Caenorhabditis elegans: one gene and its partners. The protein of the gene in region 3 purifies or fractionates together with the protein of the main gene of each other region. This does not show direct contact. Each region holds a gene or a part of one and is shown on either strand. Other genes may lie near its edges.

Region 1 (7,676 bases), on a different chromosome or scaffold from region 3:
ACCACGGTGGGTCTCGCCACGATGGGTCTCACCACGATGGGTCTTTCCACGATGGGTCTCACCACGGTGGGTCTCGCCACGATGGGTCTCGCCACGATGGCTCTCGCCACGAAGATCTCGCAGCAACATTTTTTTAATTTTCCAGAAGGTTCTAGAACAATCCAGAATTTTTTCGAATTTTCCAGAAGGTTCTGGAACATTCCAGAATTTTCTAGAATTTTCCAGAAGGTTCTAAAGCTTTTCAGAATTTTCCAGAAGGTTCTGGAACATTCTAGAATTTTCCAGAAATTCCCAGAAGGTTCTGGAACATTTCAGAATTTTCCAGAAGTTTCCAATTTCCCTTCCAAAGACGGAAAGTCAATTTTTCATAAACTACCGTAATCCTACCGTACTCCTACAGTACTCCTACAGTACTATTACAGTACCCCGACCATATTCCACTACTAACCGCAAACCTATATCTCTTCAAAAGACAAAAACACAATTTTTCATAAACTACAGTAATCCTACAGTACTCCTACAGTACCTCTACAGTACTACTACAGTACCCCGACCATATCCCACCTCTAACCCCAAACCTATATCTCTTCAAAAGACAAAAACACAATTTTTCATAAACTACAGTGATCCTACAGTACTAATACAGTACTCCTACAGTACTAATACAGTACCCCGCCCATATTCCTCTACTAACCACAAACTAATATCCCTCCAACAGCCGAAAACACCTTGCCTTTGTAAGCTATGACGTCACTTGTTAACAAACGGACACTATTTTTTTATATATAGGTAATGATTAATTATTAATTATTAATTATTAATTATTTATTTATTTATTTATTTATTTCAAAAAAACTTTTTTCGATGTCAGGAGTCCTGACTCAGGACAAGTCGTCGTCGGAAGAAGAAGACTTGGAATGCTCACTCCGAAGGTTCCATGGCTGTCCATCGCACGTACTGACCGTGAAAAAAAATGGAATGAGTTTATCCTCTTCGCAACTTGAACCCAACGGACATCAAAGTATCAAAGTAAAGTAAGTAAGAGCTCGAGCCCAGATGCTCGAGCTTGAGCCTAAATGCTCAATCTCGAGCCCAAATGCTCGAGCTCGAGCCCATATGCTCTATCTCCAACGCGAAAAAAGTTGTAGCTGTTAAAAGTCCATGAAGTGCATCCACTTGCCACGAGAAGTGAGAATCAGCCCGAAGCCGCCACAGTCGTACATATTTTCTTTATTTAAACCGGTCAGATACACTGATAGTATTATATTTAACATATTTCTATCTGCAAAAATGCTCTTCTGCCCAGAATTCTTCTGATTCCATTTAATTCTTGCTAGAAATCGCTGAAAAAACAGCTCGTATTTACAATTTTTTGTAATTTCCGACTTCCCATTTTATCAATTTTACTATTTCTGTGAAAAAAATTCGAAATTTCGTTCAAAAATAGCGATTCTGGCTCAATTTCATGAATATCTGTTGTTTTTTTTGGCAAAAGTGGCCGCGGCCGAGGAGGAAACCTTGTCCCCGCTCGGTGTACTCCTCTCGGATAATATTTGTTTTTTGAATTTTAAGCGCGCCAAACTGATTTTCTTTGTCATTCCATGAATTTTCGTCACGTTTTTCGAGTTTTGTATCGAATTCTTATCAAATTTTCAATATTTCCAGCTATGTCAAAGTCGGAAAAGCAACAATTAGCGCCATGGGTGGAGAAATATCGTCCAAAAGTGCTCGCCGATATTGTCGGCAACGAGAACATTGTCGAGCGGCTCAAAGTGATCGGACACGAGGGAAATGTGCCGAATATTGTTTTGTCGGTGAGAAGATTGTTGAAAAATTCATTTTAAAAGTCAAAATGTGAAGTGAAAAATCGAATTTTTCCGTTCAGGGTCCCCCAGGCTGCGGAAAAACGACATCAGTGTGGGCGTTGGCTCGAGAATTGCTCGGCGATAAGGTTAAGGAAGCGGTGCTCGAGTTGAATGCGTCGGACGAGAGGTTTGTGAGAAAAAACCCTGAATAACTGGGAAAAATTGCAAAAAAATTGACTTTTTCGCTAAAAACTTTGAAAAAATTGAATTTTTCTCAAAAAAAAAATCTCAAAAAACTGCCAATATTTCCAGAGGAATCGATGTGGTCCGTCATCGTATCAAAACGTTCGCCCAGACGAAGGTGACACTTCCAGAAGGCCGTCACAAGATTATCATACTGGACGAGGCCGATTCGATGACCGATGGTGCACAGCAGGTGCGGAATTTTGCCGAAAAACTTGGAAATTTGAATTCAGCTCAACGAGAGCTTTGATTTAAGTATGAACATGACTAGGCTGCGATAATTTTGGAAATAAATCTGAAAGTTTTAGGCTTAGGCTTTTAGGCTTAGGCTCAGGCTTTAGCTTAGGCTCAGGCCTTGACTTTGGATTAGGTTTAGGCCTAGGCCTAGGCTTAGGCTCAGGCTTAGACTTAAACGTAGGCGGGATTTTTTTAAGTAAAAAAAGCCGAAAAGTGAGTGTTTTTAGTAGATTTTTCAGTTTTTTTTTGACAAAATCTAGATAAAATCGGAATTTTCTGACGAAAATATCAAAGTTCCGCAATTTTTGAGCTTTTTGCAATGAAATTGGTACAAATTTCGAATTTTTTTTAAATGAAAAATGCCATAAATTAAATGGTCAAAAATCCGGAATTTCTAGCGTTTTCCGAGACAATTTGCGATTTTTTTAAAGAGAAAATGTCAAATATCAGAAAATTGCCCGTTTTTTCCACAAAAAAAACCGAGAAAAATGGTAACTTTGCACACACAATTTCACTTATTTTTTCAGGAAAATTTACACGATAATTAATCAAAATTTTCGTGTTTTTTTTTTTGAAATTGAGCCAGTTTGGATGTCAATCTACCAGTTTTTCTGCGAGGAATTCGATTTTTTCCAATGAAAATCCCCCCAAAAAATGCAATTTTCATCCGAAAAAACCTCCTAAACTCGAAAAATTAGTCCCCCGCCACGATGATTAAAAAATTTCCAATTTTTTCGAAATTTTCGGAACCCAGTCATGATTATACTTAAATGAAAGCTCTCAACGAGCTCAATACGAATTTTGCATTGAATTTCCAAAAAAAAAAAACCAAATTTTCAGGCTCTCCGCCGCACAATGGAGATGTACACAAAGACGACAAGATTTGCGTTGGCCTGCAATCAATCCGAGAAGATTATTGGTACATATTAGGGACGGCAAACGATTTTACCGGCAAATCGGCATATTGCCGGAATTGAAATTTCTGGCGAATTGCCGGAATTGAAATTTCCGGCAAATTGGCATATTGCTGGTTTTGAAAATTTCTAGCAAATCGACAAATTGCCGGAATTCAAATTCCTAGCAAATCGGCAAATTGCCGGAATTGAAATTTCTGGCAAATTGGCAAATTGCCGGAATCGAAATTTCTGGCAAATTGACAAATTGCCGGAATTGTAATTTCTGGCAAATTGGCAAATTGCCGGAATTGAAATTTCTGGCAAATCGACATATTGCCGGAATTAAAATTTCTGGCAAATTGGCAAATTGCCGGAATTGAAATTTCTGGCAAATTGGCAAATTGCCGGAATTGAAATTTCTGGCAAATTGGCAAACCGGCGATTTTCCGATTTGCCGAATTTGCTGACAAAAAATTTCCGAACGGCACTTGCCGTCCACACTAATACAGATCTCGGCCTGGAAACTCCCCAAAAAATCGATCGATTTTTGCCCCTTTCAGAGCCCATTCAATCCCGTTGTGCCCTGCTCCGCTACACAAAATTGAGCCCCGTACAGCTGTTGACACGTGTCAAGGAGGTTGCAAAAGCCGAGAAGGTCAACTATGACGACGGGGGTCTTGAAGCGATTCTGTTCACTGCACAGGGTGATATGCGACAGGCGTTGAACAATTTACAGGTAGAAAATCCGGGAAAAGGCTGAATTTTGAGCTGAAAACGCTGGAAAAAATTGCGAAAATTCACAATTTTCTAGACCAGAATTTTTACAATGTATGTGCTTAAAAGTAGTGAAAAACCGGAAATTTTAGCTAATTTAGTTGGAATTTGGCGTTTTCCGTAAAAAAGGTGAAAAAAATCATATTTTTAAAGGATTTTTTTTCACTAAAAATTGACCTTTTCCAAATTTTCTTCAGTGAAAATCTAAAAATGTTATTAATCTCAAAAATTCCAAAATAAAATCCAAAAAAAAAAATTCAAAAAATTTTAGGAAACTTTTTAAAAATTTCAAAAAAAAATCCTAAAAATTTCACAACAATCCCAAAAAATTCCAGATAATTCCAAAAAAAAAAAAAACTTTAAAAAAATTTCCAAAAAAGATTTCCAAAAAAGATTTCCAGGAAAACTTGGCCATCCTTCCGAACTCCATAATTTTATTTTCAAAATTTTGAAAAATTGGTCTAAAAATATAAAATTTCGCTGAATGTTCTTTTTTCCTTGAAAATCTCAAAAAGTTTCATGAAAATTGGATTTCGTACCATTTTTTTATTTAAACATTTTTTTTTGTTGATTTCACCAGTTTTTTACATTTTGCAACAAAAAAACTTAGAATTTTTCCTAAAATTGAAATTTTCATTAAAATTTTCTCATTTTTTCAGTGAAAATCATGAAATTTCATCAAAATATTGAAATTTTTTACATTTTTCAGTTAATTTTTTTTTTCGATAAAGGACATCTAAAAAAGGGGTATTTTAACAATTTTTTCCCCACAAAAATTGCAAAAATGCCGATTTCCAGTATAATTAAGTGGAAATTTCATGAAAATGTGACTTGTGTGTTTCTCTATCCGAATTGATGGTTTGAATAGTGGTATTCTCGGCTGAAATATGCAATAAATACCGTATTCCAACCAACAATTCGGTGCAATAGAGCACATTTGTCACTGGAGATGCGGAAGCTATGCCCAATTTTTCAATTTTTTTTAGTAAAAATCTGAAAATTTAAACAAAAATTGCGTTTCAAAACAAATTTTCCATTTTTGGGCTGAAAACTTGTAGAAAATTTAGAAAAAGTCTTATTTTCAAGTAAAAACTATGTAAAATATGCAATTTTCCGGCTAAAAAAAAGTAAAATGTTCCGATTTTCCAGGCAACAGTGAACGCTTACGAGCTTTGCCGAGATTTTCAATTATTTTTCACGTCGATCCTCATATCTTCTCAATGTTTTTTTTTCAAATTTTTTTTTCAAATGAACCCGATTCTTGTACAGAATATGTAGTTTTGGGTCTCGCAGCGAAATTGCGCGTTTTATTAATTATTTTTATTGCACTTTAAACATATTTATAGATGGATTTTCCTCGGAACTTTAGCAATTTCATCCCAGTTGCCGAGAAATGCTAAAAATTTGGGTACGGCAACTCGGCAATTGCACACTTTTTGAATTTTTCAATTTTTGATGCAAAAAATTAATTTTCTTGGATTTTTCAAATTTTGCTCAAATCCCTGCTAAAAATTCGAAGATTTTTTAGCCTTTTCTAGTTTTTGCCGAGGAATGCTATAAATTTTGGCTCGGCACCTCGGTAACTGAACTAAATTTCCCTATATATTGTCTGTGACTTGTGTGTTTCTCTATCCGAATTGATGGTTTGAATAGTGGTATTCTCGGCTGAAATATGCAATAAATACCGTATTCCAACCAACAATTTGTGCAATAGAGCACATTTGTCACTGGAGATGCGGAAGCTATGCCCAATTTTTTTTTAGTAAAAATCTGCTGAAAATTTAAACAAAAATTGCGTTTCAAAACAAATTTTCCATTTTTGGGCTGAAAACTTGTAGAAAATTTAGAATGTCTTATTTTCAATTAAAAACTATGTAAAATATGCAATTTTCCGGCTAAAAAAGTAAAATGTTCCGATTTTCCAGGCAACAGTGAACGCTTACGAGCTTGTGAACAAGGAAAATGTGCTGAAAGTCTGTGATGAGCCACACCCGGACCTTATGATCAAAATGCTCCATTACTGTACGGATCGCAAATTCTTCGAGGCATCCAAGATTATTCACGAGTTTCATCGGCTTGGCTTCTCCTCAGACGATATTGTATCAACGTTGTTCCGTGTGGTAAAGACTGTCGAGCTGTCGAAAAATGTGTCCGAACAGCTGAGAATGGAGTATATTCGGGTGAGAAAATGGGTGGAAAATGAGCCAAAATGAGCGGCTAAAAGCCGCCCGGGGTGTTCTGAAAATTGTCAAAAATCCGCGTTTTTTGGAGCTTTGTTTTGCCGAAAAACGCGAAATTTCGTTGTTAGATCATCGGAATATCTAAATTTCGGCCTTTGTGGCTGAAAATTGCCGAAAACCACCGGATTTTAGGGATTGGTAGCCTAAAATTGGCGAAAATCGTGAATTTCGAAGACTAGTTGCCGGAAATTGCCGAATTTTAGTTTTTGGTTACCGGAAATTGAGTCCGGCAACTCGGCAACTGAACTGAATTTCCAATTGAAATTTCCGGCCAACCGTAAAATTGCCGGAAATGAAAATTTGCGGCAACTCGGCAATTTGCCGGAATCGAAAGTTTCCGGCAAATCGGCAATTTGTCGGAATTGAAATTTCCGGCAAAACGGCAAAATGGTGGAATTGAAAATTTTCGTCCAATTGGCAAACTGCCAAAAATAAAAAATAAAATTTCCGCCACATTGCCGGAATTGAATTTTGAGGCAAAATGGGAAAATAGCGGAATTCAAAAATTTCCGGCAAATCGGCAAATTGCCGGAATTGAAATTTCCAGCAAAACGGAAAATTGCCAAAAATCAAAATTTCCGGCAAATCGGCAAGTTGCCGGTATTGAAAATATCCGGCCGATCGGCAAGTTACCGGAAATAAAAATTTCCGGATAATCGGTAAATTGCCGAAATTGAAATTTCCGGCAAATTGGCAACTGAATTGAATTTCCCGGTATATTGTCTGTGACTTGTGTGTTTCTCTATCCGAATTGATGGTTTGAATAGTGGTATTCTCGGCTGAAATATGCAATAAATACCGTATTCCAACCAACAATTTGTGCAATAGAGCACATTTGTCACTGGAGATGCGGAAGCTATGCCCAAATTTTAATTTTTTAGCCCAAAACCATTAAAAAAAAACAACGAAACAATTTTTCAGCAAATCGCCATGTGCCATATGCGTATCGTGCAGGGACTCACTTCGAAACTTCAACTCTCCCGTCTGATTGCCGATCTGTGCCGAGTTTCAGCAGCGGCAACGGCTACGAGTGCCTAAAATTGTTGCCGAGATTTTCAATTATTTTTCACGTCGATCCTCATATCTTCTCAATTTTTTTTTTCAAAATTTCAAATGAACCCGATTCTTGTACAGAATATGTAGTTTTGGGTCTCGCAGCGAAATTGCGCGTTTTATTAATTATTTTTATTGCACTTTAAACATATTTATAGATGGATTTTCCTCGGAACTTTAGCAATTTCATCCCAGTTGCCGAGAAATGCTAAAAATTTGGGTACGGCAACTCGGCAATTGCACACTTTTTGAATTTTTCAATTTTTTGATGCAAAAAATTAATTTTCTTGGATTTTTCAAATTTTGCTCAAATCCCTGCTAAAAATTCGAAGATTTTTTAGCCTTTTCCGGTTTTTTCCGGAATTCCAGTTTTTGCCGAGGAATGCTATAAATTTTGGCTCGCCACCTCGGCAACTGAACTGAATTTC
Region 2 (3,743 bases), on a different chromosome or scaffold from region 3:
GGCACCGGCTCCTCATTGGTCATGACTTTCTTCTCTGCCGCACCACCCCTGAAACTAGACATTTACAGAGAGAGACCCAGACGATGTTGCATTTAGTCTCTTGGATAATTTGGAAGTAGTTTCCATGGAAACCAAAATTGTAAAAGAAGCCGAGATGAAGCCGGAAAAGCAGCTAGAGAAAAGCAAAGGTGGCCTAGAGAGAGAGTTAGGGAGGGGGGAACGAAACTAAGTTGCTGCGTCGATAAAATATGTGCGGCAGCGGGGAGTGTCTCCTCGTTGCCTGGGGGAGTGTACGTGAGTGAGTGAGAGAGTGTCTGTCTGTGTGAGTGTGTGTGGTGCGAGTGTGTGTGTCTCAGTTGTGTGTGTGTTGTTGTGGGTGAAGAGATGGGACGAAAAGGAGATATGTGTGTGTGCCTAGGGCCCCTCTCAACAATGGAACATCACTTCTTCCCTGCTTCTCCTTCTTAAAAGTATTTCTTTAAGGGCCCCCGAGGTTGGGAAGAAGGTGGCTCGGCGCTTGCATAGGAACGGAAGCTGAAAACTAGGACATATTCCTCACAGACTGGCGAATCTGAAAAATAAATACCGTAACATGTATCAGTATCACAATAGTTTTTTTTTCAAATTTCAAGTATTTCAAGTAACATGAAACATTCAACATGTTTGAGAGTTAATAATATAATATACCTAGGTTACTTATTTTATTAAATTTCCTTCTTCAAACATACCTGTTAAAAACAATCAGACATCCCAAAAAAACTCTGAAATGTTCTGTCAAAGTCATGTTTAAAAGTTTGAAACTACAAAGATGTTGCAAGAATACGGTCTTGCAACGATCGGAAGTTTGTTACTGAAAGCTGTGAACCGCGACAATTAAGAACTATTGTAGTTACTTATTAAAAATGTACACTCTTTTTTGGAGAAACCGTTTAAAAATTCAAGGTCGTGTCGAGACCTGATACTGTATTTTTGCTTTATAAATTGTAATATTCTTAATCTGGATGATTAATACAGTTTACATATTACCGGAACACAAAATTCTAAAAATTCGTACTGTGCAACATATTTGACGCTTTAAATATCTCGTAGCGAGAACTACAGCTGTATACAGTAATTCTTTAAATGACTACTGTAGCGCTTGTGTCGATTTACGGGCTCGATTTATGAAATTAATTTAATTTCGAACAGCGACATTCTTTTTTCATTCGTTTCTCATTTTTTGCTTAATTTTAGTATTCTATAGATAAATAAATTATTTTAATCCATTCGAGCCCGTAAATAATATGCATTCTCAGAATTTTGTGTTCCCGTAATAAACTATGAGTTACAATTTTCGATTTCAAGACATACCGTACCCAAGTTTATCAGAGAGCGGCACAAAATCGGTTTTCCTGTTGAAAATAGCTAAAAATCAACAATTATTGTCTTATATCCATAGATATAAAACAATGCATATTATATTTATTTTTTTCTTCAGAAAAGAAACGAAAATATTTTATTTTCACATTTTTATATTCAGTTTTTGCATAGTTTTTCTTTTTTATTTCTAGATTACACTTAAAAGCTGATAAATTTAGTGTTATTCTCGATTTTTCGGAATAAAAATTCATTTTCAATAATTTTTGATCTTCTCTTTATTTTTGAAGAAAAATTATTGATTTTTTTCCACCAGAATTTTCAATTTTAAAGGGATGACCAAATTTAAAAACCACGGGTCTCGCAACGAATATGAAAAATATTTTTGCGCTTTGCAGACGCGCACGAGCGGCAAGTTTTCAATTTTCTGCAGTTGTTCACCAATCTAGATTTCTTTTTCATCATTTATTCTCTTTTTCTTCCCGATGCGGTTGATTTTGCTTTGCTCTCTTTGCTTCAATCTGAATTTTCGCCATTTTTATTCAGATTTGTTCCTTCTTAAGCTATTACTTCTTGTGAATCTTCCGTCAAAATTTCATTCAAGTTTTCTTACAGACTCAAAAAAATGTCGAAAGCCAACGTCGGAATCAACGGTTTCGGAAGAATCGGACGTCTCGTGCTCCGCGCGGCTGTCGAAAAGGACACGGTTCAAGTGGTCGCCGTCAACGATCCGTTTATCACAATCGACTACATGGTCTACCTTTTCAAGTATGACTCGACCCACGGTCAATTCAAAGGAACTGTTACCTACGATGGAGACTTTCTGATTGTCCAGAAAGATGGCAAATCATCGCACAAGATCAAGGTCTTCAACAGCAAGGATCCAGCTGCCATCGCATGGGGATCAGTCAAAGCCGATTTCGTTGTCGAGTCTACTGGAGTTTTCACGACAAAGGAAAAGGCCTCTGCCCATCTTCAAGGAGGAGCCAAGAAGGTCATCATCTCTGCTCCATCTGCTGATGCTCCAATGTACGTGGTTGGAGTAAACCATGAGAAGTACGACGCTTCGAATGATCACGTTATTTCTAACGCATCGTGCACCACCAACTGTCTGGCACCACTGGCGAAGGTTATCAATGATAACTTCGGTATGATCATCATCAAATCAATTTGTTTTTTTCTAATTTATTTTATTTTCAGGTATCATCGAAGGACTCATGACGACAGTGCACGCTGTAACCGCAACCCAGAAGACAGTCGATGGACCATCCGGAAAGCTGTGGAGAGATGGACGCGGTGCTGGACAAAACATCATTCCAGCTTCCACTGGAGCCGCCAAGGCTGTGGGAAAAGTCATTCCGGAGCTGAACGGAAAGCTCACTGGAATGGCTTTCCGTGTCCCTACACCAGATGTTTCCGTCGTTGATCTGACCGTTCGCCTCGAGAAACCAGCTTCGATGGATGACATCAAGAAGGTAGTCAAGGCCGCTGCCGATGGACCAATGAAGGGAATCCTCGCCTACACCGAAGATCAAGTTGTGTCGACTGACTTCGTGTCCGACCCTCACTCGTCCATTTTCGATACTGGAGCATGCATTTCGCTCAACCCGAACTTCGTCAAGCTCGTCTCTTGGTAACCACTGAATTTTTAAAAAATGTATTTTAAATTTATTTTTTACAGGTACGACAATGAATATGGATACTCGAACCGTGTTGTCGACCTCATCGGATACATCGCCACCCGTGGATAATTCTATCAGGATCTTTTATGTATAATCCATGTATTTCATAGCTATTTTTTTTATTACAGTCATCATTGAATAAACCTATTTTTCTGGTGAAATCTAGTACTTTTGTCGTGATTTTAGAAAAAGATTGAAATGACTTCTAAAGTGAATGTCTATTGGAATTCGAGACCTAACCTTTAAATTTAAAGTTGCTTCGCATTTTGATGGTGCGAACGTGGACTATTGATAGTGTTTTGTGGTGCGTTGCGGGCTAAACCGCGACGCCTCTGACGATCTTGCACCCAAATAAATTAAACGTATTTTTCTGATTAAAATTAACATTTCGTCTAGAAAAGCTAATTTTGCACTCATTTGAAAATAATAGCATCTTTCTTTTTTTTAATGAATCCATTTCACATCCATTATCTGATACAAATTTTATTCTAGATGTTTTTCCTAAAGCTCCTCATTTTTCGAATATCTGTATTTAATTCGTTTTTTATTTCCAGAACAGCTGTCCTAAATCATGTTTTTTTTTCAGAAATGCCGTCCATCAGTAAAACGAAAAGCGGGGAGCGCTATCGAGCGCCTACCGATCAAGCTCGTAAAATGGATCGAAAAAAGGAAAACAAGAGAAACAAAAAAGACAGGCAGCAAATA
Region 3 (4,663 bases):
AGGGAGACTTAGATATTGAAAAGAGACGGAACAAAACATTGCTCAGTGTTTTGGAAAAGTTTGTGCTGAATTTTGAAAAAAAAAACAAAAATTTGCAGCGTCCTCATTAGTAAAAAGAACTAATAAAGATTATTAGACTTTTTCAAAAAAAACTAAAGGGTTTTATGATATTTGTTACCGTTTAATTTAAATTAGGTGAATTAGAATAACATCAAAAATTTGACAACCCCCGAGAACAATCAAGACATTCAACTTAGTTGGAAACAGGCGAAGATCGTCTTAAGGTGAGGCAGGCAGGCGGTGAGGCCTATATGATAGGCCTACTTTCAAGATCAAAAGTTTAATTTAGATTTAGAAATAATTCTGTGAATGTACCAAAATGTAAAACAAAAATGTTAAATGACAAAGTCTAGAAAAAAAAAAAAAAGAACATAGAACTACTTCAGGGAGACGGAAGAGAAAATGAGTGAATGTCTCTCTTTGGCGACAAAAAAACTCCATTGACGGAAGACGATGAGAAAGGTGACATCAAACACAACGAGAAGAGGAAAGTAGGTGAGAGAGTGAGTAGAGACGTAGAGAGTTAAGCAAAAACCGTAACAAGTGAGAAAGTGGGGAGATGCAAGGATGATGTAGCAGGAAAATGTAGAGTATGACGTGGCGACGACTATATTCAAATCTATCGAGTATTCGTCGAAGAAGAACCAAATGAAGCACAAGAGAATGATGTTGCCTCACTATGTGCGTGTGTATGTATGTGTGCGTACGGACGGAGAAAACGAAAAAGCAGGACAAAGCGAGGAATACGACGATGACGATAAAGAGGAAAATAAGAAGCGCAGACGAAACAACGGCCGCCGGGGGCCACCCGAGAAAAAGAAGTCCAGAAGGGGCGGCGAAGAGCAGACGCAGAGAATCATCTAAGCTTATGAAATTGAGAGAGAGAGAGACACTCTATGCACGTCTCTTTCTCTTCCAAACTCGCTTGGCCCGACAGCAATTTGTTCCTTTTTGTGTCTATGTCTCTCCGAGTTCTTCGTCTATCTCTCTCAGTGCCCCCCCCCCCCCCGAGCACTATTTGTCGTTGTCACACTCAGTCAGCCATCCATCCAGCCAGCCGTTGGCCCAACCCATTTCATTTCGTCTAAACGTCTGTACTCTCTTCTCTCGTCTATTCCATCTTCTCAAGTGTGTTGTGTTGAATGGATGGTGTGTGTATGTGTATGTGGAAGCACGCGGACCTCCTTCGACAATGTCTCCCTCTCTCTCTCAACCTCTCTTTCGGTTTCTTTTTCTCAGGATAAAGAGATTTTAGACGCAGATATGAAAACAGGACGGAGGACGTCTCTTTCTCCATCTCTATCTCTTTCACTCTAAGAGTGAAGCGCAATGGCTGTGTTGCTATTCCAGGGTCCCAATGCTGTGACTCAGAAATAGAGTATCCTGAGAAGAGATGCAGAGAAGAAGCGGGCACACACGATTGTATTCATATTTTTACTTCTCTGAATCTCTAATACTCCGTACAATCTCTAGTTTTTCAAGAGACAGGTGTCTATCCACCTGGTCTATCAAGCATCGGACCTTCACAGCACCAGTATGACTAGGGATTAAATATTTGAAATTGATGGGTACTGTAGTTCTATTTTTATTTTCACTTCTATGAAAAACCAAGTGATAATCTGGCCTGATTTTCTTAAAATATTAAGAAATCGATTTTAATACTTTTTTCTCAATTTTTAGCGCATAAATCTTCAATAAACATACCGCTTTCTTCAAATGATTTTCACAATAACCACAATACTTGACATTCCGACTTATTGCCCCTTCTTCACATAAAAGTCCTTTCCGCTGAGCACAGGTTACGTGAAAGCTCCTCTGAAAATTTCGTTTAAATTACAAGAAATTTAAAGAAAAATAAAAATACCTTGCACGTCGACTTGTTACACGACATACATGCACCTTTTTTCGCATCATTTGGACGTTCTTCATTGCAGATGTAGCACAGTTTATTGAATCTATAAAATATATAAATTGATCGAGATAGTAATAAAACTTCAAGATTTTTTCAAAGAAAGAGTTTAAAATGTTTAGATTTTTTGTTGTTGTTTTTTTTTTGAAAGTCGAAAAATCGAAAAACTGGAAAAAAAATTTCGGTTCAGAAATGTACCGGAAATTTTTAAAATTTGAGATTTTCCAGAGAGTCAAAAAATCGAAAGTCGAAAACTCAAAAAATATTCACCCTTGATCAGACACATTTTTCATATTGAATTACCCATATTCTTGAGAAAAACTTACTTATCAGTTGGTACATCATTTAATATGACTGGTTCCATACTATGTACGTTCCCAAATCGCACTTCTGGAATGTAAAGTGCACAAATTACATGAGCCCATCCGTTTCGATCAGTTTTTTTCAATGCTCCATAGTCAAACGGACACAATTGACAACAAAATGTTGCCTCATTTATACTGCCGGGCATCATAGCTGATGCTTTCGTACATTTTGCACAAAACCATTCGCCTTCGGGTACTTCTTGAATTCCATAACATCCTGAAATGATAAAAATTCGGTGGGGCCTAATCGGAAAATTTGGTTTTTTGAGAGAAAATCGAAAAAAAAAAATCAAATTCATCTAATAAGATGGAAAAAAGCAAAACTTCAAACAATGCTTGGAAACGTTGGATTTTTTTTCGAAATATCGGGAAAAATACTAAAATTTTTCAATTTCTGTGAACTTCTACTCACCCTGATGTACTGCAACTTCACAATTCTCTCCATCACAATAGATCAATGGATTGTCTGTCCAACCATTCTCATCTGCACAAACGCAGCATCCACCTACCATCTCCTTCATTTTTCAGCAATTTCGGGGGACTCTGTAAAAATAATTATCCATTTGAGAATACAATTCACAAATTTTCCACAAAAATTCGAAAAAACTTACGATAATTTTTTTTGGGTTACTGTAGCTGGTCAAGAGGTCAGGCGTGGCTCATTTGTATGGTGATGTGCTGTAAAAATTCGGTAAAAATTACGCAGAAAAGGGGAGATTAGAGGTATATTGCCGTAAATTATTGATTTATTATGGCCGAGCGACAAATAAAGAAACAGAACAAATAGAAATAACCTAATTTCGGAGAAAAAAGAACGTTTAACAATTATCTATAATTGAATGCGTATCAAAAATAGTATTAAAGTTTCATAGAGATATTTAAATATTAGATTCGGAAAACAAAATAAATTGAAGAATGTTTTGCTTTATAAAATACACTAAAAATCCATTTGAAAATATCAAATATCAAATTACGAAACTCTTCAGAAATTCATTGAAAAATCTTTTATGGCCATTCAAAATTTTGCATAAAGGCTAATTCTTCAAAATTTAGAATTTTAGGTAAAACTGCTATAAAAAAGTTTGAGGAATTATTGAAAAGTTTCGTTATGAATTTCGGACTTTTCGGGCCAATTTGAGTGAACAAATTTTTCATTGAAAATTTAACGCCGAGCATTAGATATTTTTCTCTCAATTTTTGAAATAAAAGAAAATGGAACTGTACAAAATTTCGTCACAAAAGACAAACGGCAGCAGTCAATCAATACGACGAATAGAGGTCATTCAAAGACAAAAAATTTTTGCAGCGTCTCTCTTTTCTCTCTCCTTCTTATTATCGGGGAGCGGCCATCGATTCGATTTTCGATTCAGTCAAGTCAAAAAAGTTATGGGCGTGAATGAATGAATATACATTTAATAGTGATAATCAAATTGAGAGAACGACAGAGAATTACAGATTGTGTATGGAAGAAAAGGAAGAAGAAGAAATACACTGATAACGACGACATCGTCAGTGTCTTTCTCTCTCTCTCTCTATCTCTCTCTCGTCACCAAACCACCATCACAATCTTCCCGATTTGAAGTCTTTGACAATGAGAGAGTATTAGACACAGACAACTAGTAGCCTACAGTAGGAGAGACCGACATCACGTTCTCGTTTGGAAGAGAGGGAGAAGCAATCGAGAAGAAGAAGAAAAAGGAGGTGAAGATAGACACATACAACTTGGCATCGTGCCAAGCATGCATGAATTCTCACAGGGGCGCAGCGACGTCGGCTCTTCTATGTCACATGCACACAAGGAGCACATACATACAAACAAGAAGGGGAAGCTTTGCTCCTTTTCTCTCTAACTTTCTGCGTTCCAGTGCTTTATTTCATATAGCCGTATGTTTTAATAAAATTAGTTGAAAAGAAAATAATATACGGATCGGAAAATATAAAAATTTAAATGAAAAGAGTCATTTGGATGCTTAAAAAATCGTCCAAGGGCGAAATAAAGTTAATAAACTTTTATATTTTTCTCTAAACCTCGCCTAACATTTTCTACCACATAACCTTATAAAAATTAACATTGTATTGTCATTGAAAAATTAAATATTGAAAATTAACGGTCAAGGTGATAAATATAAATGGAAAAGTAATCAGTATCATCATAGACACAGATGTGATCGGATATACTTCGGGTATCGAGAAAAGAAAATTTACGATGGGGTACTTGCATAACACAAGAAAATCTCTACAGAGGGGTCACGAAGGATTACGATAGTCAAGAAATCATTTTATTGATTTTTTAAAACCACTTGGGGAACAGTTATAAATTTAATTTAAC
Region 4 (4,972 bases), on a different chromosome or scaffold from region 3:
AATTAATTCGAAAATAATTAATTTCTCATATTTATTAAGCGGGTTTCTATATTTTTTTGTTCACGCTGAAAAACATTTCAAAATAAAAAAAGCTAATAAATCGTTCCAAAAAAATGTATTTCCTATATCTTCGAATCTAAAAAATGACGTCTTCTTCCGTTCAACAATCGATTGAAATTCGTGTTAATTGGAATGAAATTCCAACAATTGAGCAAAAAATTTTGGAGGCGCTGAAAGGAATAAAAACTCGAAATATCCGAGAGACGAATGTAGTTTTGTTCAAGAAAAATGAGGTATGTTTCCACTTTCTCATTCCTTTCCAAATAATTGTTTTCCAGGAAATTCATGTGAGAATCGAATTGAAGCCAATGGAATTCCCTGACACAAATCGTTGCAAAGCGGTTCAAGCGAACACCATTCCGTTGGTTGGTGACCATCGACTCGGATGTACCGGAATTCAGTATCGACAGGAGAAGGCAGCGAAACGTGGAAAGAAGGCTCGCATGTCGACCGGCGTTCAGACAGTCTCCACAAAGAATCAATGACCAAGAGTACTTCTTTTATCCGGTTACGCGATTGATAAAGAGATATAATAGGGGGAGGAATAAAGAGAAAAGAGAGAGACAACATAGTACAATAGGCAATGTAAAATCAATGTGAGTGGATTAGGAGACCCTAGTTAAAATGAAATAGGAATGATAATCAGGTGAAAAAAAGGATAAAATAATGATTTGATTGAGAGATCGAAAAGAAAACGGGGCTTATGTTCCAGCTTCCAGCAGGAAATTAGATGAGAGTGATCTTATCTTCGGCAATCATTGCAGCGTTATCGTTTTCCAATTGTTCGTATCCAGCCTTCAGCTCATCCTCAGTGAACTTGTGTGATCCGGCTTGAGTTTGAACACCTGAAAACATTTTTGTAATAAACATTTTTAATGAAACATTTGCTTACTGTCTGTGATAATTTGAAGTTCAACCATATCGTCGGTGCTTCCAATGTCGTCGAACGCCTTTCTGACGTACTTCCGAAGCTCCTTATAACGATCAACTCCGATGGCAGCCGGTCCAGTACGTGCTTTCTTAGCAGTTGGCTGACTTTCTCCAATGGTAGTATCCATCATAGAATCCTGGCTATCATCATCTTCAGCACGCCTTCTGACTCCACGACGCGGGGTGGCTGCAGTCGGAACGGAGCTAGATTGAGGCTCTTCCGATGTTGCCATGTCCTCGTTATCGCTCTGATCCTCATCATCGTCACCATCAATTCGTGGAGCTCGCTTCTTCTTCTCATACTCTTGACGAGCCTTTGGCTTCTCCTTGAAACAGGCAAAGTGGAGCAGATTGTAAGCTTTCTCAGTATCCTCTCGTTCGACTTTTTTCGAGAATCTTGCCTTCGCGATAGCAGTTGACAAACGAATCAATGTTTCGAGTTGACGAGCGGTGACAGGCATTGTTCGTTCTTGATCAGTTTTGGTGATATCAAATGAACGAATATCGGCATATACTTCAGAAATGTACTCAGTAGCTTCATCGGTGAGTTTTGGTTGAACTGATCTTGCCAAATGGATGTACTTTCTCATGAAGTCCATTGTCAGGATTTTCGTGCTGAAATAGAGAAATTAATTAATTTATATTGTTTTTTTATAAAAGAAACTCACTCTTGAATACCAGCCCATTGGGTATTTTCCTCATAGATCGAGCTGCTCGCCTTCTTAGTCTCCATATTGATTGTACTGATCGTCTCAACACCTCCACCCATCGGAAGAACAGTTCCATCGGCTTCACCTTGGGTTCTGTAAGTGTGAAGCTTGAGCACATGTTCAGCGACATTAGCGTCCTTGTCCGCATCATGCTCATCAAGAAGTACAAAGATCAAATCGAAACGCGAGAGGAGTGAATCTTGCATTCCGATGTTTTCCATTGGAGATTTGAATGGATTGTATCGTCCGTACACCGGATTTGCTGCAGCCAGAACCGAGCAACGAGCATTCAGCTTCGCGTGGATTCCAGCCTTCGAAATTGTGACACGTCCCTGTTCCATAACTTCGTGGATTGCAGTTCTATCAATATCAGACATCTTGTCAAATTCATCAATACAAACGACACCACGATCGGCGAGAACCATTGCTCCAGCTTCAAGACGACGTTCTCCCGAATCAGGATCAGTAGTAACAGCAGCAGTAAGTCCAACACCCGAAGATCCACGTCCAGTTGTGGTGATAGCTCTTGGGGCCATACGAAGAACATATCGAAGCAGTTGAGACTTGGCAACAGATGGATCTCCGATGAGAAGAACATTGATATCTCCCCTCAAACGAGAACCATTGTTCAGAATCTTTTCCATTCCACCTAGCAACAAACAGAGCAACGCTTTCTTTGTCTCTTCGTGGCCGCAAATTGATGGAGCAAGTGACCGAGCGAGCAGCTCAAATGGGTTTCTTGACTTTGAAATTTTACGAACATCTTTAACATCTTGTGGCTCAAAGTTTGGAATAACCTCCTTTGAAAGCATTTGAATATGATTAATGATGATGATCGAACGGAAGGATCCAGACGAAACTCCATTCTGCTTATTCGGCAGAACACGGAAGACTCCAATGATGCGGACACGATCTCCAGGCTTGACGCGATCTGCCAAATCAAGATCAGCAACACAATCGACGGCCCGAGGAAGTTGACCGGCTGGTGCGGATTCTGGAAGCTCTTGAATTGTGAACGTTTGATGATCCTTGTAAACTGAATGTCCGAATTCTGTTTCAAGAGGATTCTTATTTTCATCTTCTGTTGGATAGTTGTTATTGGTGACTGCAGTGTCGAGCATAGTGAAATCGGCAAATTTCTTCTCGAGCACTTTATTTGTTGCTGGACAATAGTGGACAGAAGTGAGAAGTTTTTGACGAACAGTTGAACACTTTGTGACGATTCCCTCACAGCAGACAAGGTTTCCAAGATATGATGATTTGAGAGTACGTGGATTGACGTGGCGCTCTCCGAAAGTTCCTTCAAAGCCGACGTGGAATCCACTGAAAATACAAATTGTTTAAAAACAAAAACGGCTTTTAAAAGCTACTCACGTTTTGACAACAGCTTGAACATCACTACGATTAATAGCCATTTGAAGTGCAGATTGTAAGCAATTCATCTCAAGAACGCTTTGGGTCAATAGCCTGAAAACTTTAATACTCGGGAATTCTTTATTTTTTATTAATTACCCTTCAGCTCTTTCTGGTAGAATTTCCCTGATTTCATCGAGATTCATCACCAAACGACTTTCTCCATCATTCATCATTTTCACAATTTTCTGACGATAGTGAAAAGTGTCGGCTTGATTGTCCAAAAAGTTGAGATACTGCTCCGTGATTTCTTGTTTTCGAGCATCCTCGGCACGATCAATGAACATTCCATCAGCTTGTCCGTCCATTTTTTCTGAAAATAAGATGTTTTTAACAAAAGAAACTTAAAATTAAAAAATAAACGAATAGAAACTAGAAAGCACGGAGAAGAGCGGGGAAAATAGAAAAATTCGGCCCAAATTCGCGCATTTCTCATTCAAACAGCAAGGTTTCGCGCGCTCGCTCCGTAAACACCATGACGCAACGCTGCACTCAATGCACCTGAAAGTGATGTTTGAACATGTTTATTTTAAATAGCTATTAATAGCGAAATAATTTTATTTAAATAAAAATGCCTGGAATAAAATGAAAATTGTCTGAAATTATCAGTTCAAAATTGTCATTTCAAGTTTCAAAAAACATCAATAACATTTGTGCCCGTGATCTATGCAAAAGATCTCTTCCAAAAATCTCCTCAATTTTTCATAACAAATCACAAAAATGGAATCTATTGTTTCAGTACTCACAAACTCACAGACACAGATGCTTTTCCATTCTATTCATCCCATCTTTCTTATTTTCTCCCTGCCTCCCCCAGGACGCACCTTTCGTAATACATTTATACATAGAAATGGGAAGAAAGTGGTCACAAAAGCACACATATACACAAAATTTATGCCGTAAAGCTTTAAGTGCTTTGACTTTGTCTCCTAGAAACTTGAGCGCACCGCGTGCTGGAAACCATTGGAAACCGTTTGAAACAACATCTATCGGACCCTCCCGCCGCCGCTCGGGCCTTCACTCATTCATTCATTCACAAAGCTATTTTTTCTGTGCTTTTTCGTTTTATATTCGCAATACGATACGAATACGAAACCATGAAACTTCTACTCGCAATCTCGATTCTGGTACTCTGGATTTCAGAGACAGGTGAGAATTGAATCTAGATTTATAACAGGACTGGCGAAATTTTGAACGTGTTGCCTCCAAGAGTACTGTACCGGGTCTCGAAACGACTTTTTTAAGACAAAATCTATTAGCTTACTATTCTTCAAACGAGTGTGCACCTTTAAGGAGTACTGTAGTATTCAGATTGTTTCCGGGTTTTCTTTATTTAGTTGCTATAGTTTTTTCTTCCGTTTTTTAAGTATCAAAAAATGATAATTACACAAGTGAAATTACTTGAGAATGAAACAATTTTTAGAAAACAGGAGAAAACTGTTCTGAGAAAAGTTAGAAACTACCGTACTCTTCAAAGGCGCAAACACTTTTGCAAATTTAATAATGGGTAGTGTCGAGATCTGATCTAAGGGGCTTGGTGTGCGCCTTTAAGAGGTACAGTTTTTCCAGGGTTCAAAAATGTTTATTTGAAAACTAAGTTGAAAATAAACCGAAAAATCTGAAAAAAAAAGTCGTTACTGTACCGCTTAAAGGCGCGTACCTTTCACGATTTGCAAATATTTCTTTCGTGGCGAGACCTTGGAGCTTTGGAACATTGACTTTTTTTCAGAATCCACAACATGCTTCGTCCAAAATAGTATTCTCAATGCGTTCACTCAAGTCTGCCCGGGAAACATCTACACCTGCATGAAGTTCGACTGTAAAGTGAACAATCCGAAGAAATGTGAGTTTTAAGCCTG

Evidence for each region.
Region 1: the proteins of zfp-1 (region 3) and rfc-2 purify together in Caenorhabditis elegans (affinity purification with mass spectrometry, with the first as the bait; one study listed by BioGRID). This does not show direct contact.
Region 2: the proteins of zfp-1 (region 3) and gpd-4 purify together in Caenorhabditis elegans (affinity purification with mass spectrometry, with the first as the bait; one study listed by BioGRID). This does not show direct contact.
Region 4: the proteins of zfp-1 (region 3) and mcm-3 purify together in Caenorhabditis elegans (affinity purification with mass spectrometry, with the first as the bait; one study listed by BioGRID). This does not show direct contact.

Annotation. Positions count from the first base shown.
Region 1 is NC_003282.8:1,345,651-1,353,326, forward strand, and holds rfc-2 (Replication factor C subunit 2), read left to right. Parts: upstream 1-1,663; 5' UTR 1,664-1,667; coding exon 1,668-1,814; intron 1,815-1,885; coding exon 1,886-1,992; intron 1,993-2,117; coding exon 2,118-2,241; intron 2,242-3,125; coding exon 3,126-3,204; intron 3,205-3,741; coding exon 3,742-3,917; intron 3,918-5,880; coding exon 5,881-6,135; intron 6,136-7,116; coding exon 7,117-7,233; 3' UTR 7,234-7,327; downstream 7,328-7,676.
Region 2 is NC_003280.10:10,169,299-10,173,041, forward strand, and holds gpd-4 (Glyceraldehyde-3-phosphate dehydrogenase 4), read left to right. Parts: upstream 1-1,969; 5' UTR 1,970-1,981; coding exon 1,982-2,504; intron 2,505-2,556; coding exon 2,557-2,989; intron 2,990-3,037; coding exon 3,038-3,107; 3' UTR 3,108-3,200; downstream 3,201-3,743. Other genes in the region: RFX-like transcription factor daf-19, read right to left, coding at 1-23; WW domain-binding protein wbp-11, read left to right, coding at 3,627-3,743.
Region 3 is NC_003281.10:8,796,747-8,801,409, reverse strand, and holds the start of zfp-1 (Zinc finger protein zfp-1), read right to left. Parts: upstream 3,013-4,663; 5' UTR 2,946-3,012; intron 2,878-2,945; 5' UTR 2,856-2,877; coding exon 2,747-2,855; intron 2,552-2,746; coding exon 2,296-2,551; intron 2,016-2,295; coding exon 1,925-2,015; intron 1,878-1,924; exon of another isoform or gene 1,876-1,877; coding exon 1,765-1,875; intron 925-1,764; coding exon of another isoform or gene 709-924; intron 1-708. Other genes in the region: F54F2.6 (uncharacterized protein), read left to right, coding at 709-924. UniProt on the Caenorhabditis elegans protein: Recruits the histone methyltransferase dot-1.1 to chromatin to methylate 'Lys-79' of histone H3 and activate transcription. Recognizes and binds histone H3 methylated at 'Lys-4' (H3K4me) at the promoters of target genes.
Region 4 is NC_003283.11:15,056,174-15,061,145, forward strand, and holds mcm-3 (DNA replication licensing factor MCM3), read right to left. Parts: upstream 3,427-4,972; 5' UTR 3,422-3,426; coding exon 3,213-3,421; intron 3,168-3,212; coding exon 3,075-3,167; intron 3,024-3,074; coding exon 1,659-3,023; intron 1,606-1,658; coding exon 953-1,605; intron 906-952; coding exon 787-905; 3' UTR 546-786; downstream 1-545. Other genes in the region: C25D7.5 (Metallo-beta-lactamase domain-containing protein), read left to right, coding at 1-1; C25D7.16 (40S ribosomal protein S20), read left to right, coding at 144-293, 339-545; nssp-71 (neuronal small secreted protein), read left to right, coding at 4,211-4,262, 4,843-4,956.